Linked DNA regions of Alligator mississippiensis. The protein of the gene in region 2 binds, or shares a complex with, the protein of the main gene of each other region. Links are inferred from orthologs where the notes say so. Each region holds a gene or a part of one and is shown on either strand. Other genes may lie near its edges.

Evidence for each region.
Region 1: the proteins of CAST (region 2) and CAPNS1 are in contact, whole or in part, in a crystal structure (PDB 3BOW), measured with the Rattus norvegicus proteins. The link is inferred for Alligator mississippiensis from reciprocal best matches to the Homo sapiens genes CAST and CAPNS1. Residues at the interface, in NP_445747.2 of Rattus norvegicus: Pro652, Ile653, Asp654, Ala655, Leu656, Ser657, Asp659, Leu660, Asp661; in NP_058814.1 of Rattus norvegicus: Phe103, Leu106, Gln109, Leu110, Ile125, Lys128, Val129, Arg132, His133, Leu136, Phe166, Trp170, Lys174, Gln177, Lys181.

Annotation. Positions count from the first base shown.
Region 1 is NC_081838.1:1,008,528-1,015,706, reverse strand, and holds the start of CAPNS1 (calpain small subunit 1), read right to left. Parts: upstream 3,011-7,179; 5' UTR 2,901-3,010; intron 2,186-2,900; 5' UTR 2,161-2,185; coding exon 1,964-2,160; intron 1,023-1,963; coding exon 989-1,022; intron 335-988; coding exon 245-334; intron 32-244; coding exon 1-31. Other genes in the region: transmembrane protein 87A, read left to right, coding at 3,810-3,932, 5,138-5,198, 5,349-5,434, 5,563-5,682, 5,801-5,857, 6,299-6,337, 7,042-7,179. UniProt on the Homo sapiens protein: Regulatory subunit of the calcium-regulated non-lysosomal thiol-protease which catalyzes limited proteolysis of substrates involved in cytoskeletal remodeling and signal transduction. Essential for embryonic development.
Region 2 is NC_081826.1:238,529,176-238,536,931, reverse strand, and holds the start of CAST (calpastatin), read left to right. Parts: upstream 1-4,739; 5' UTR 4,740-4,844; coding exon 4,845-4,898; intron 4,899-5,195; exon of another isoform or gene 5,196-5,269; coding exon of another isoform or gene 5,270-5,299; intron 5,300-7,756.

The DNA of each region.
Region 1 (7,179 bases), on a different chromosome or scaffold from region 2:
TCATCAGCTCCGAGGCGCTCACCTCCATGTCCTGCCGGGGGGGCAGAAGGGGGTCACCCCCTGCCCCAGTGCCCCCCACCCCCCCAGCTGCACTCAGCTGCCCAGTGTAACCCAGGGCCCAGCTCCACCCCAGAAGCAGCTGCATCCCGGCAGGGTGTGGAAGGGGAAGCCTTTTGCAAAGGATTGTGGGATGGTTTGGGTCCATCTGGGCCCCATAGCTGCGGGGGCCCGGGGAGGTACTCACATCTCCAGCCAGCTGGGTGAAAAGCCTCCGAAACTGCCGCACCTCCTCGCTCTCATTGGCTTCGATGTTGGAGAAGTGGCTGCGGGGGGGCTGCGGGGGCAATGGGGGGTGTCAGGACATCTCTCCCCCTGCCTGGGGATGCATGAAGCCCACGAGGGGCTAGCTCCCACCCGCCAAAGGGTCGCAGACGCCCCCCCAATCCCTTCAGGCACTGATGTCAAGGTCTTGGGGAGGGGGCCTGGGGTCAACACCCCCACAGGGGGTTAAAGGGGCCGTGCACTGGATCTGAGCCCCTTTTAACTTGCCCCAGTCTTTACTGTAATTACCTGCCTACCATGCACACCCCTCATTAAAAATTCTCCTTCTAAAACTGGGGGGTGGGGGGCGCTGGCTGCCCCTAGTCTCTCTGCTCCTATTTCACAGGCTCCTGCCTCGGGTGGGCTCAAAAATCAGGAGCAGGTCTTATGTGGAAGGGGGAGGGGGGCAGCATGTGGTACACTAGAAGATACGGTAGCGAGGACCTTGTGTGTGTGTGGGGGGGGTCTAGGGACCCTGCATCCTACCGTACCTCCTCGCATACAACGCGCCACGTTGCAGCCCAGCTGTGGGCACAGGGGGAGGATGGCTGGGTCCTCAGGACAGCAGGTTTACCCCCCCCCCACATTAGGCAAGACATGCCAGGACCCCGGTGGACCCCCCCCCACCCCATCTCTCACGTGTCCACAGCAGGTCACTGGGTCTTACCGGGGGCTCTGGGTTATACTGGGCAGCCGCTTCACTGCGGGGTGGGGGGAGAGAGGGAGAGAGAGAGAGAGAGAGAGAGAGAGGAGCGGTGAGGAGAGACCAGGCCCATGCCTCAGTTTCCCCATGGCTACAACAAGCATCGGGCCCCCTCCCGCCGCACTCGGAGCTGTGCAAACACAGCAGGAGAGAGGCTGTGCCCGGCTCTGGGGGGTCCCGACTCCCCCAAAGGATGAAAACTACATGGGGGAAGGAAGACATGAACCCCACGCCCAGCCCCCGCCTCAGGCGCCGGACAAGGCAGGTTCAGAGGGGGAGACAGAAGAGGAAACTGAGGCATGACAGACCCGGTCGGTCTGAGGGGTGGAGTGGGATTGGGTCCTGGTGCTGGGCGCAGAAAGGCCGAGTCTCCCCCCAGAAGTGGGCGCATTTCAGAGCCAAGTGGGGGGGGAACACCGTGCAACCAGCCACAAGGGCCCACCCCAGAGGCGGGCGCATCCCAGCACCCGGCCCAACCAGTCCGAGACAAAGCAGGGTGGGGCTGTTCAGCGGACCGGAGCCCCCCGCCCCCCCATGCTGAAACCAACCCAGCCCCACCCAGAGACCTGGGGGGTAGCCAGCAGGAACAGTCCTAGCCCCGGGCCAGGCCCCACCCCAGAAATGGGTGCGTTTCATTGCCAGCTGGGGGAGGGGGGGTGAGGAGGAAATCCCTCCTTGAACAGCTGCCAGGCTCCAGCCAGGCCTGCCATGAGTTTGCCAGGTCTCAGCCCCCCCCCACGTTGAACGGGGGTCCGCAGGCTGGCCTCCCCCTCACCCCTGGGGGGAGAGGGTGTTGGGCTTAAGTGCTGTCCTGCCCCGTACCTCAGTCCCCCATCCCCCCCAACTGAACAACAGGGGGGTATTGCTGGGCCTCATGCATCAGTTTTCCCACCTGGAAAATGGGTGCACGTTACCTGGCTCTCCCCCTCTAGCACTCACCTGATGGCACTGATGACTCCCCCCAGGAAGTTCATGGCTCCTCCGCCACCGCCGCCGCCCCGGCCTCCGCCCCCACCCCCACCGCCACTCAGCAGCCCCCCGATGACGTTGCCAATGTTGCCCCCGATGCCGCCGCCGCCACCGCCGCCTCCTCCTCCACCGCCGCCGCCACCGAGGAAGCTCTTGACCAGGAACATGGCGCTGGGCTCAGCTGGGCACCGGCTGCAAGGCAAAGGCACCGGTCAGCTCCGCCGGCCTGGCCCCCCGGGCTCTCTGGGGGGTGCACCGGGGCTGGGGAGTGGGGAGGAGTGGTTAGAGCCCTGCTCGGCAGCGGGGGGGGGGCAGGATGCCCCGTTTCCTGGAAACAAAACACTGTCGGTGCTGGGGGGGGGCTCCGGGACCCCCTCTGCCTCCCCGATCCAGGATTGCCCCCCCATCCCGTCCGCCCAGCTCCGCCCCGGCCGCAGCCGCAGCCCAGGGCGGGATGACTCGGGGCGTCGGCTGCAGGGAGCGGCGGGGGGGAGGGGATCACTAGATCCCCGCCATGAGGCCGGGGGGGGGGGGTTGATCCCTGCCACCCCTCCCCCGTTGGAGAGAGGGGAGCGGATCCCCGGGTCTGTCCCGTCCCCCCACGAGCCATGGGGTGGATCTGGTGCGGGTAACGGCGGATCCCTTGGAAGGGATCCAGTGCGACAGGAGAACAGGAGGGTGCCGGGGGGGGATCCACTAGGATCGGCTCTATGCTGGGGATAGGGGGGGGTCGCGTGCAGAGAGGAGGCGGGGATCGGGGAGCAAAAGCGGGGGATCCCGGAAGAAAGATCGGGCGGGGGATCCGGGGGGGCCAGGGATCCACTGCGCAGAGAACCCCCGGATTCCGGGGGATCCGGTGCGGGGTAGTACTGCGGGGTGGGGGGGCAGGGATCCCGGGATCGCGTACCTGCGGGTCGGGGCTGCGCGGCTCGGCTCGGCTCGGCTCGGCTCAGCACGGCTCGGCTCGACTCCGCTCGGGCCGTGCGGGGGGCGGGGGGGCTGCCACGCCCGAGCCAATCACGCCGCCGCCGGGTCCTAGCGCCCGCGGCCCTGCTCCCGGATCCGGCGTCCGGCTCCACCCCCCATTGCCCCGCCCCGCCCCCCGGGCACCCGGCGTCCTGCCCCACCCCCCACACTGCCGCGGGCCGGACTTGGGGGGGGGGGGGGGAGGATTGCCAGTGGTTAGAGCAGACCCGGCCGGACTCCGGATCGGGCCCCCCAAGGGGGGGGGGGGGGGCTCTGACTCAGCCACTTGGCATGGGGGGGTGGGGCTGTGCGTCATCGCCCACGTGGTCGGTTCCCGCGGGGTCTGCGAGGCAAAGCGTTAACCCTTCCCGCGCCGCAGCCCCCGAGCTGGGGAAGGGGGGGCATCGCTTTAGTCCCGGCACGTGGGGAAACTGAGGCACGGCGGGGAGGGTGGGGGGGGAGACCCCAGGGGTCCGGGGCCCGATCCTGGCATCAGGGTGCAGGGGCGGGCTGTGGGGGGGCTCTTTGCCCCGGTCCCTAAAGACGGGTAAAATAAGGGTAAAATGAAGGGTCTTGGCCCCTCTGCCAGGCCGGCACTTTGCCGCGGTCCCTTGAGGCCCGCTGGAGGGGGGCGGGGGCAAGCTCTTCGCTTTTCCCCCGGGGCGGCACTTTTGCCCCGGTCCCTTACGGACCTGGCATCCCTCTTCGGCGCGGCCCGCACTTGACGCCGGTCCCTGGAGGGGGCTGTGGGCGGAGCTTATCGCCGGAAGCGGGGGCGGGTCTTTCCCGGCGGAAGCAGGGGGCGTGGCCCGCGCTGGCCCCGCCCCGGCCGTGACGCGCCCGGAAGAGGATGGCGGCGGCGGGGCCGTGCCGGGTGCTGCGGGTCGTGGCGTTGTTGCTGCCGCTGGCGCTGCCCGGGCCGGGCCGCGGGGCTGGGGCCGAGCCGGGCCGCTGGGACCTCGGCGCCACCCTCGTGAGTCACCCGGGGGCGGGGCCTGGCGCGACGGGGCGGGGCCTGGCGCGACATGGCCCCGCCCACAAGCGCGCACGTGGGCGTGGGCCCCGGGGGCGGGGGTCGCGACCCGGAGCGACCCCCCCGCCGGCCCCTATAGGCGAGGGTGTTCCCCTCTAGCCCCCCCCCGGCCCCTATAGACCTGGACCCCCACGAGACACCCCCTCCCCTATAGACAGGCACTTGCCCCTTGGTCCCCTGTAGCCATGGACCCCCCCCAGTTCCTTATGGAGAAGGATCTTCCTGGTCCCCTATAGGCAACCCCCCCCATCCCCTATAGGCAACCCCCCCCATGGTCCCTAATGGAGACGTCCCCTCCTTTTGGTGCCTTATCGATATAGGTCCCTTTTTGGTCCCCTATAGACGTGCATCCCCCGATCCCTCTGTAGATCAGGATCTACCTTGTGCGTGGTCCCCTATAGACACCGCCCAGTCCCCTACAGATACGGACCCCCCCCCCGGTCCCTTATAGACAAAGATGGTTTCCTATCTCAGTCCCCTATAGACGAGGACTATCCTTTTATCCTGTATAGACATAAACACCCCCCATGTTCCCTATACGCAAGGAACTGCCCCCCCATCCCCTATAGATAAGGAACTCCCCCTGCCAGTCTCCTGTAGACATGGACTCCCCCAGTCTGCTATAGGAGTGGACCCCCCCACTCACCTATAGACAAGGACCCCTCGCTTCGATCACCGACGGACGTGGCCCCATATAGGCGCTCTCCGTACCGTATAGAGAGGGTCCCGGTTGCATTGCGAGGGAGGGGCTCTATAGGAGGAGGGCTGTCCCAGGCCCCTATAGATGTGGGAATGGAGAGACAGCAGGAAGCCTGCTTTGCCCCAGGGCATTGTGGGAAGTCAGAAATTTCTCTACCATATCTTTGGGGGAGATCACTGCCTGTTTAACATGCAAATTTATTGCTGGCTCATTTGCATAAGTGGGTGGTAGCCTCCAGTTGCCCAGCGATACGCCCCCAAGCCAGGCGTCCTGCTGCGGGGGGGGGGTTGGGGGGGTTGTTGGCAGGGCCAGATCCTGGTGGGGGAAACTGAGGCACACGGCGGGGTGGAGCAGAGCTGGGAATGGGACCCAGGAGTGTGTGCGTGTGTCCGTCCCCCACCCCCCCCCGAGCAAGAGGCCTGATCCTGCCCGTCTCTGCCCCCAGAACCTCACGGAGCGGCTGTTCATCTTCCCCAAGACCATGTTCGACCAGTCCGTCATCAAGGGTGAGCGCTGCGGCCGGCGCCTCGAGGGGCAGGGAGCGGAAAGCAGAGCAGGGGCTAGGAAGCAGCATGGGATGGGGCAGAAAGCAGAGCACGGGAGCGGGTTGGGGGGTGCCTGCAGCGGGGGGTCACTGACCAGCCCCTCGTTAACAGTGGTGCTGTCCTGCCCCCACGGCCTCAGCCTGAACGTCACCTGGTACCTGCGCAGCTCCCGCTGTCACGACGAGGTCGCCCTCAATGTGAGCCCCCCGGCCGGGGTCGGGGGGGGGGGGTTGGGAAGACTCCCGGGCTCTTTCAGAGGGAGGTGGGGCTTGGGGGGGTCGCTCTCCCTGCACCCCCGTCTCACACCCTTCCCCCCCGCCCCCAGGAGAACAAAGCAGGCTTCTACCTGGCCAACCCCGACCGCGAGCTGGTGCCAGGGGGGGCCGGGCAGTACGTGCTCCATCACTTCCCCCTCCTCAACTGCAGCCACATGTCCAGCCACGAGGTGAGAGCCGAGCCGGGGGGGCGGGGGTCCCTGGCCGTGGGGGGGGCGGGGGGACGACACCGCCCCCCCCCCCGGCACCTGCTGCTCTTCTCACCGAGCCTCTGTGCCCTTCCTCCAGCTGAGCACGGAGCGACTGCCCTCCCCCACCCGGCTGAAGCCCTACAGTGACCCCAAGGTAGGGAACTCGGGTGTCCGAGTCCTGCCCGCGTCCCCCCTCCCGCCTTGTTCCCTGCTGCCTCTGGCCCTTGGGGTGGGAGTGGTGCTGGCTGGGTGTTAACGAGCCAGCTGTAATTAGCTTCCTAGCCTGTCAGGCTTCCCAAGCTAAGCTGGGTCAGGCTTGTTCAGAGCTTGAAGGGGAGCCCAATGCATGGGATGCATTTGGGGGCTCCTCCAGGCTTCTTCTTTCACCTCAACCAGCTTCATGTTAAACCCGTTGGGCCCTGGCCCCCACTGGGAAGCAGCCCCAGCTCCTCCCTGCCCTGCCTCAGCTTCCCCCACCTAGGCCAGTGCACCCCCCACCCCCCTCCTCGCCCTGCAGCATTGATGTATGTGGTGGAAGCAGTGGGATCCCTGCCCTGGGGCCTCTCTCACACCCCTGTTTGCTTTGCATGCCCAGAGGGTTCAGCTGAAGGAAAGCACCAGCAGCGGGAAGAAGGTGGGTCTTGGCTTTACCCCCTTGTTAACGACTCTCCCCCTTAGGGAGTCCCGGGGGCAGGATCTTCCCATGCTGCCCCCCCCCCCCTTTTGCATGTCTCTGTGGCAGACCAGGGGCCTCGCTGGGAGGGGGGTTTAGTGCAGAAGTTGCTTCTCTGGGCAGCCAGGGGCTGAGTAGAAGAAGCGCGTTACGTTACCGTAATTCTTCATGTACCGCTCACCTGTCTTGTGTGAGCACCTCATTAACCCCCTGGGAGGTAAAAGGATTAGTAGGAATCAGGATTATGAGCCACTGCCTCTGCCAACCAGCTGCTCTTCAAGCGTGGCTGGGGCAGGAATCAGAGCGGGGTACGACTGCACCACTGCCCTCCCCCCAGCCCTCCCTTGTCCAGGAAGTGTCTACTGCCAGTCTTGTGGGATGCCACACGCTTCCTGGACGCTCTGTCTTTCCAGGAGAACTTCCTCTGTGGCACCAGGCTGTGCCTCTGGAAACATCTCGTTTCCCTCTGTGCTGCTTTCCAAAAACAAGGGGTGGGGCTTATGGGGGGGCACTTGGTACACGGGGAAATATGGTAATGAGGCAGCTTGAATACAAGCTGTTTTCATGCGTGGATGTTGCTGTAACCGCCCAGTGGATGGGTGAGGCGAAGCTTGGATTCCAGGTGGGGTAAACTGAGGCAAAGGTACCGCTCTCTCTCTCTCCAGCAGCCCGTGGGCATTCAGCGGAGGGAAGCCCTGGCCCCCCAGGGTGAGAAGTCCCCCAAGGACAAGGTCGAAGGGCAGAAGCTGGTGCCCACTCGAGCAACTGAGCCCCCCGCCATGATAGGGAAGCGAAACCAGAGC
Region 2 (7,756 bases):
TCAACCCATAGCTACACCAGCCCTGCTGGTGCCCCTCACTCCTGACCTGCTGCTCCCTGCCCCCAGCCCCCCTCAGTGTGTGAGGAAGGGAGTGGGTGTGTGGGGAAGGGGGTGTGTGGACACAGGCGATGCGTTGAGGGGGTGGTGGTGCCCCCTGCAGATTTCTGTGCCCTCAGCAGGGTGTAGGGCTGCAGCCAGGCCAGGCCATACCAGAGCAGGGCAGGAGCTACCTCTGCGTCCCAGCAGGAGGGACTCAGTGCAGAAGGGAGCTCAGCTCCACCATAGCCACCAAGGTGAGGCGCAGCAGTGGCAGCAGTGTGGAGTTGTGCTCCCCACTGCTGCCAGGTGGGCAGGGTGCACCTCACCTTGGTGGTCAGGGTGGTATGGCACTTCCTCCTATGCTAAGTCCTGCTCACTGGGCTGTGGAGGTAGCTCCTGCCCAGACCTCGTCCAGCCAGGCTATGACCCCATGCCCCACACCTCGCTGTGGGCACAGAAATCTGGCAGAGCACATGGTCCCCCCCTGGCCCCTGCCACATCGTCTATGCCTCTATGCTGAGTTGCCTATAACCGCTACCCTACTTCTGCCTCCCTCCCACCATGTTGCCTGTGCCCCCCTGCCCCTCTACACATTGTCTGTGTCCTCCCACTCCTGCCTGCTTAGACTTACCTGGAAGGAGCAGCTCTCCACCAGACTGCCTGGCTGCCACGTGCATGTGTGTGTGTGCACATGCACATAGCACTCCCTGCCCCCTGCATCCTGCTCCCTCCAGCTCCAAGAAGCCCCTTGCAGACTGGAACTCTGCCAGCCTGCAAATGGAAACCCACAGTTTCCTGCATTTTTCTTCCTCAAAGGAGAAAATCTGCGCTTTTCTCCTTCAAAGGAGAAAATCTGTGTTTCCCCAAAGCAAACGGCAAACCCAGGTCCCTGCTCATGAGTCCTGACTGGCCTAGGAGTAGGGCCAGGGCCCAGAGAAAAGGGCCAAAGACTAGGAGGTCACAACTGGGGACCAAGGGGGCCAAGGTACTTCTAGTATGAGAGGGGTGAGAACTGGGGCTGGGATCACATAGCCCAGGAGGGGCACGTGACACTCATTCCTCCTGACATATGCTAGGTGTGAGTGTGGTGTAAGGGGAGGTTGGAGCCATGTAATTAGCCCTTAAGCCAGTAAGCACAGAAACCTAAATTCATGAGATGAGATCAGGCTTGGGAAGCCCTGGGGCAGCCTCCCTTTTTCTAAAAGAGAATAACATCAAGGTGTGGCAGGAGAGAATACCCAAAGACAGCCAGACTACACAGTGGCTAAGAGGGCTCCAGGGGCATTGCAGCCACCCCTAGAGTGGAACCCTGTTACAATCAGCATATGAAAGAGTTTCTAGGTTGTATTTGCTTGCAACAGCAAGGGATTAGATTTAATCATCAGAACCTGTCCAGTTATAAGCATAGTTAGGGATACATAACTGTACTTAGAAAATATACATTTGTATTGTGCATATAAATACTGTTTTACCCAAACACATAAACAAACGTATGAATACCATTTTAGTTATACAACTTTGGAGGTAGGTTGAGATCTATTTGAGTAACTATTTAATGAACTGGAAGGCTCCATGGGCTCTCTGAGAGATGTCTGACTATTTACATACACATCTAACTTGTCAATGGGATTGCTCTAATGCTTAGTTAGGCATGTGCCTAAGGGATTTGCACTTACATTGACCACTCATCAATAATTGATAGGCTAATGACCTCAATTATTGGGGTTTCTCATAGTCTTGCCTTATCACATGGTTTCAGTCCTAGAGCTCAAATTTCAGCTATCAAGAGCAGGGCAATACAGGGTGTGGAACTGAAGCAGGTTCTGTCCTCTTCCTGTAGTACTGTGCTAGCAGGGAGTATCCTATGCACTGCAGCCTCAGGAATGCAGTACAATCTGTTAGACCTGTTGCTGTGACCAGTTATTTTTTCGATGAGCACACAAAAGATTTATGTTAAATTCATATATTAAACTACTTATAGACATCCCCTCACCTTTATCTTCTCCTTTCCATCCCACCCACCATCCTATCTCTGCTGCATACTCAAGCTGTCTACAGTTTAGACAGGGCATAATTCTTGCTTGTGGCTAGTTTTTACTATGGGGTGCGGTCAGAAGAAGGCCCTCAGTTTATTTGTACATGGGACTTCCCTGTCGACCCCCCCCCCCACTTATATTTCCGCCAGTATGGTTTGGTTTTTTGTGGACTTTACTGACAGCCATTTTTAGCCTGATGTTTTACTGACAGTTGGCAACCCTGGTTAGCAGCAGCTTAACTGCAGAAGCAGGGGGTGAGAGAGATACTAACCCCAGGATCTAATTTAGATGGATTTGGTGCTGGAATGGTAACTTCTCCCCAAGACTTTGCTGGCAAGAGCAGTCCATGCCCCTGGCTGTAGGGGCTAGGTGCAGGGACATGGCAGCAGCAGCAGCAGCAGTCTTTGAGTCCCTGGAGTAGGTAAGACTGACCTTTTTCCTTTCTTTTCTCCTCCAACCTCAATTTCTGGTGCTCAGAATCTGACAGCCACCCAGGGACGTTTTGCCCAGTGTGCAAAACTTGTTAGTTATGCTCCTAAATGTTAATCAAGCTTTAAGACTCCAAGTGCCAAACTTCAGATCTGAGCAAGGAGGTTGAAGGATCACCCCAGAAGTTGGCAGATTGCTAGCTGTTTGAAGCAGAAGACCAGGCAGCTATTTCAAGTTAAAAGGGAATAGTGAGGCATTTCTGTTTTATTTCTGTATTTTTGTGTCCAGATCTTTTCCCTATGTTTTTCTCTTAAGCCCCTGCTACACATTACTTATATTATGCAATTAACTGGTTAATTGCCCAATAAATTTAGACTGGTCACCTGTGCAAAGCAAGACTGGCCACAAGTGCAAAGCAGTTATCACACAATTAACTGGCAAATGGCACAATAAATTTAAACTAGCTACATGTGTAAAGTACTAATCACACCATAAAAATGAGTCTCCACCTATAAAAAGAGCCAACCAGCTATAAAGATAGTGCTTGAAACTGTGTGACAGCTCTGTAGTTAGTTTCTATCTGGCTTTAATTTGAATGTGTAGTAGGACTTGCAGGCAATAAACCTGTGGTTTCAGGGGTGTAGGTTGTAGCTGTCTTGATCTAAGGACATAAGCAGACAAGGTTTTATCAGACCAACTCAAATAGTTGGAAAAATTCTTCTTAGTTAGCTTTTGGGCACAAACCCCCTTCGTCAGGCTGAGGCAGTATGTGCAGATGGTCTCTGCTTTTCCTGGATGGAGTGGTAAAGTGACCTCTTCATTCACTTCATCCAGGAAGAGCACAGACCATCTGTAGATGCTTCCTCAGCCTGGTGAAGGGGGTTTGTGCCCGAAAGCTTAAGAAGAATTTTTCCAATGATCTGAGTTGGTCTGAAAAAAGATTTTGGATTTACCCCAAGAACCTTGTCTGCCTATAAACCTGTTGTGGCCTTTTCCTTTTACATTTTGTCTCGAGAGTGATTCTGCAGCAGCAGCTGGCAGCAGCAGATGTTTTGGTCCCTTGGGGCCAGCAGACCTATTTTCACAAACCCAGGGAACCCCAAGGCCTTGCTGGATCTCCTTCACAAACTATAAGGTCTGGTCAAAGTGCCTGTGAGCAGTGACAACCCTAGAAGGGTGCAGGACCTAGGGAATAGCAGTCTGCATGGGACCTAGATGTGAAGAAGCTGGTGGTGGCAGCGGCGGGGGGTGGCAAGCAGCCGGACATGAAGCAAGTGGCGGCGTGGAGTCACTAGCACTAGGCGGGCCCTGCAGGAGGAGCCATGGCTGCTCAGCTCTGCGTGGGCCCCCCAAAGCATGGGGCCCCAGGCAGTTGCCCCGATTTGCCCCCCCTAGGGACGGTCCTGCTGTGAGATTGAGATGTGCTGGCAGGAGAGATCTCCCACGACCAAGAGCTGGTTCAAGCTCTAGCAACACAAAGCAGAACAGCGCGGAGACAGCCTGGAGCTGTGGGGTTACCCCACAAGTCTGAAGTTAGGGGCACGTTATGCTTGAAAGCTTGTCCAGCATCTTCCCCCAACTACTTTCCAGCCAATCCAATAAAAGGTACCTGCAAAAAAACTCCTGGCTTCTCACAAGAAGTTTTATGTCAGGATTTCCACTGGGAACTAAATCTGGAAAGTGCGCAAGAGATGTAAAACCTGAAAGAGTAACCCTCTCAACATCTTTTTTTTCCCTTCGAAGTCTTGAAAAGAGTCCAAGTTCGGTCTGAACTCTGGGCAGAGATCTAGTTTTCCTCCTGTTTTTAGAGTGATTTTGGTACTTTAAAAAAAAACACGGACATTTGGGGAGGTGGGATAGGAGGAAGGAAAAGCGATCTTCTCGGCAACGTTTCCCTAAAACTAGCCAAGATAAGTTTCTTTCCGAGGTGAGGCCAGGCCTAACACAAACCAGCCGATCGGATCCGACTTCTAGGTTGGTGAGTTGGGGGCGGGGGTGGCCTTGTGTCATGAAGCCGGAGCTTTGTCTCAGAGAGAGGAGGAGAAAGCAACAACTCCTGTCCCGTCTCTGCTAGCGACTGAGGCCGGCTCTCAGGTCGCCTAGCGGGGAGCTGGTGTCTTCGCCAAGACAAACCGCCAGCGGGCATCTTGCCCTCAGCCACATCCCTCCCCCCCCCAGCCTGGTGCGGGCGAGGCCCCGAAAGAGGAGTGGTGCGGAGCACCCGCAGGAAGAGGAGGGACTAGCGGGGAGCTCTGGCTCGGGGCGCATCGGAAAAACCGCTTCACGCCCGGTGGAGCCAGCCCGCCGCTTCCTCCTGCCTCGCTCCGCCAGCGCCGAGACATGTCCCAGCCGGGCCGAGGGAAACGGGGGCCCGCCGCCGCGCGGCCGCCGGGGGTGAGCGGAGCGGGGCGGGGCGGGGGGCGCCGCGGCGAGGGGGCGTGAGGCGAGCCCGGCGACGCCCCCATGCAGCCGGCGCAGGGCGTGAGGGGGAGGACGACCCCGGCCCGTGGGGCGCGGGCAGCTCCGCCCCTCCCCTCCCGCAGCCATAGCGACGCGCGCGGCCCCACCCTGTCCGTGCCCTTGCGCCTGCCCCTGCCCTGCATAGCTGTGTGAGGCGGGGCGGGGCGGGGTAGCGCCGCGCCGCCCGTAGCTGCAGGGCAGGGCAGGGCAGGGCGGGGTGGGGTGGGGTGGGGCGGGCCGGGGCTGGGCCTGGGCTCCGTGCTCCCATTGCGGCTCCAGCTGCGAGGACGATCCGGCGGGCGGCGATGGCTTTCGCACGCTGGTGGTACGCCACGGTAAAGACCCGGGCTGCGCTTTGCGGGCTGGGGGCGGAGGCCGCCGGGGCACACCTAGGCCGCAGGGGAGGCGGCTCCGTGCCAGGAGGCTCGCGATGCGGCGCGGCGCGGGCGCCTAGTGCCTGGCTCCGGACCTGCGCCCAGAGGAGAGGCCGCTCTCGGCTGTCTGGAGCCCTACAAAATGAGGGCTGGAAGGGACGTCGGGAGGTCTAGTCCAACCCCCTGCTCTCAGCAGGACCAGCCCCAGCTAGGTCATCCCAGCCAGGGCTTCATCTACTCGGATCTTCAAAGCCTCTGAGGATGGAGACTCCCAAGCTCTCTCTGGGTAGCCTGTTCCTTCGTCCTCTTGTCTTTCAAGCTAAAAGCCGATGTTGAGCGGGATATCTAGCAGCTCGGAAAGGATCCTGCGGCTCCAGTGCCACCGTTTTGTCAAGCGTAAAAGGGGCTCAGGTGCAGTTTTCTCTTCCCCCCCACCCCCTTTTGTATTTGCCATGGCTTGGTTTTGCCAAAGGTCCTGCACCTATTTTGGGTAGAAAACCTGTTAAAGTTGGGTCTTGTCTTTTCAGAGCCCATGAAGTCTCACGTGAGACTTTGGCAAAGACCTGTCACATGAAAAAGATTTGTCTTTACAAGTTTTGCTGCTGCTTTTCATAGCTTTATAACAGAGCTTGCATTCATTCTCTTTTAGCCCAAAACATTTGGGAAGCCGAAATAAATGAGAGATCTTGTTGTTAAGGCAGAGTTAGTTTTGGGTGGCTTTTTCTGAGTAAGTTCCTGCGTGATAATAGGCTTCGTAAACTTGTTCCTAACTGTGGGGAGTTCCTTGATCTACAATGACTCTTTCTATCTTTCTGGGACCTCCCTAGGTAAACCACAAGTTTTTGAGTTTTGGCATAATCTGTATTCTGTACTTAAGCATCCAATGATTACTCTGACTAAACCTTCAATTACATCTTCCAAAAGGCCTGCTTTTTCTAATTTGATGTCAGTCACAGAGGGAAGCAGTTGTAGGGTGTCTGTGCCATCAAACATTCAATTCACTAATTTCCTAAAGTAAAACCTGCAACCATTGCTGATCCTAGGACACATTAGATGTGCTTTGCGAAGAGTTTGCTGGAACATAAATATCTAATTATACAGTTATAACAGTTTTCAGCCTCAATCCTAATTGTGAGTCAGAATTCAAACCAGTTAGCCAGTGTCAATGAAAGGTGGTTAGAACTGTGAGTCCCGGTGTTGGGCTGGATGTTGGGTTGGCTGTTATAGCTGGATTTAGGTGCAAGTATTGCATTAAACTTTGTGCAATGCTAACACATGCGGTAAAATCCATACACAAAACTAGGAGGGTCCCTGCTGTCCTGAGTCACTGAGTTTTGGATCTAAAAGCAAGCAATCTAAAACAAACTAAGCATGTGTTTCAGGGTCAGAAAATCACTTGCACTCATGTTTCATGGGAAATCAATTATCAAAAATATTTGCATCACAGTACCCTTAATGACTCCAACTGAAATTGGACTCTTGTTGTGTGAGATATTGTGCAGTCCCCTAGTAAGAGAGAGTTCTTCCCTGAAGACCTTATAACTTAAGTAAGGAAAGACATACAAAACTTAGAAGGGGAATAAGCAAAAGGCATGAAGTAGTTGTCGTGCTGGGTTTTAGTTGGTAACTGGTTCAAAAAAGAACTGGGCTTTTTGAAGTGGATAATAGATTTTTTTTTTTTTCACTAGCCCCTTGCTTTGGGACTTCCTCCCTTTTGGGCTTATATTAGATTTGTTGTTTATTGGTTTCACTGTTAGCATGTTGTCCTTGAGCCTGGAGAACTTTTTACTTGGGTCACTTGTTTTTGTAAATCTTGTATATCTTGCTGGTTGAGAAAGTAGAGTTGGTGAGTGTGGCTACCAAAGAGCATGTTTTCTGGCACTTTCGTACGCTGTATAGAGCATGTTAAAGTGATGAAAGTCTTAAACTGAAATTGTACACCATGGGTATCTCTTCTCTTTGCCTACTTTGCATAAATTCAAGGTAAATTGTAAAATGAAAAGTTTAGTATTTTGCTTGCTGTATTTTTTTAACTTTATATATAGTATAATATAAAAATGTTATGGGCTAATGTTAGACTTCATCCAAGACATTAAAACAATTAAAACAGCTGTAAGTTAGGTGTTTGCTGTGTCCTCCTTTGACAGAGTTGGAGTTTATGAATACAGTATATAACCCTGATTAAGAGGCTGTTTATTGCATGAATATGTTGGTATAATATGGAAAGGCTGGTTCAAGGTAAAAACTCACTTGGCAAAAACTAGAGGGTTGTAAAGGGAGGATGTGGTAGATATTAGTTCTGAGGACTCTGGCATTGGTATCCTGTTGAGCCTACTAGGCTGTTTTTGACCTGAAGGGCTAAAGCATGGGGGCAGAGTTAAGAACAAGATAAGGGTACTAAAAACAGCATTAACAAGT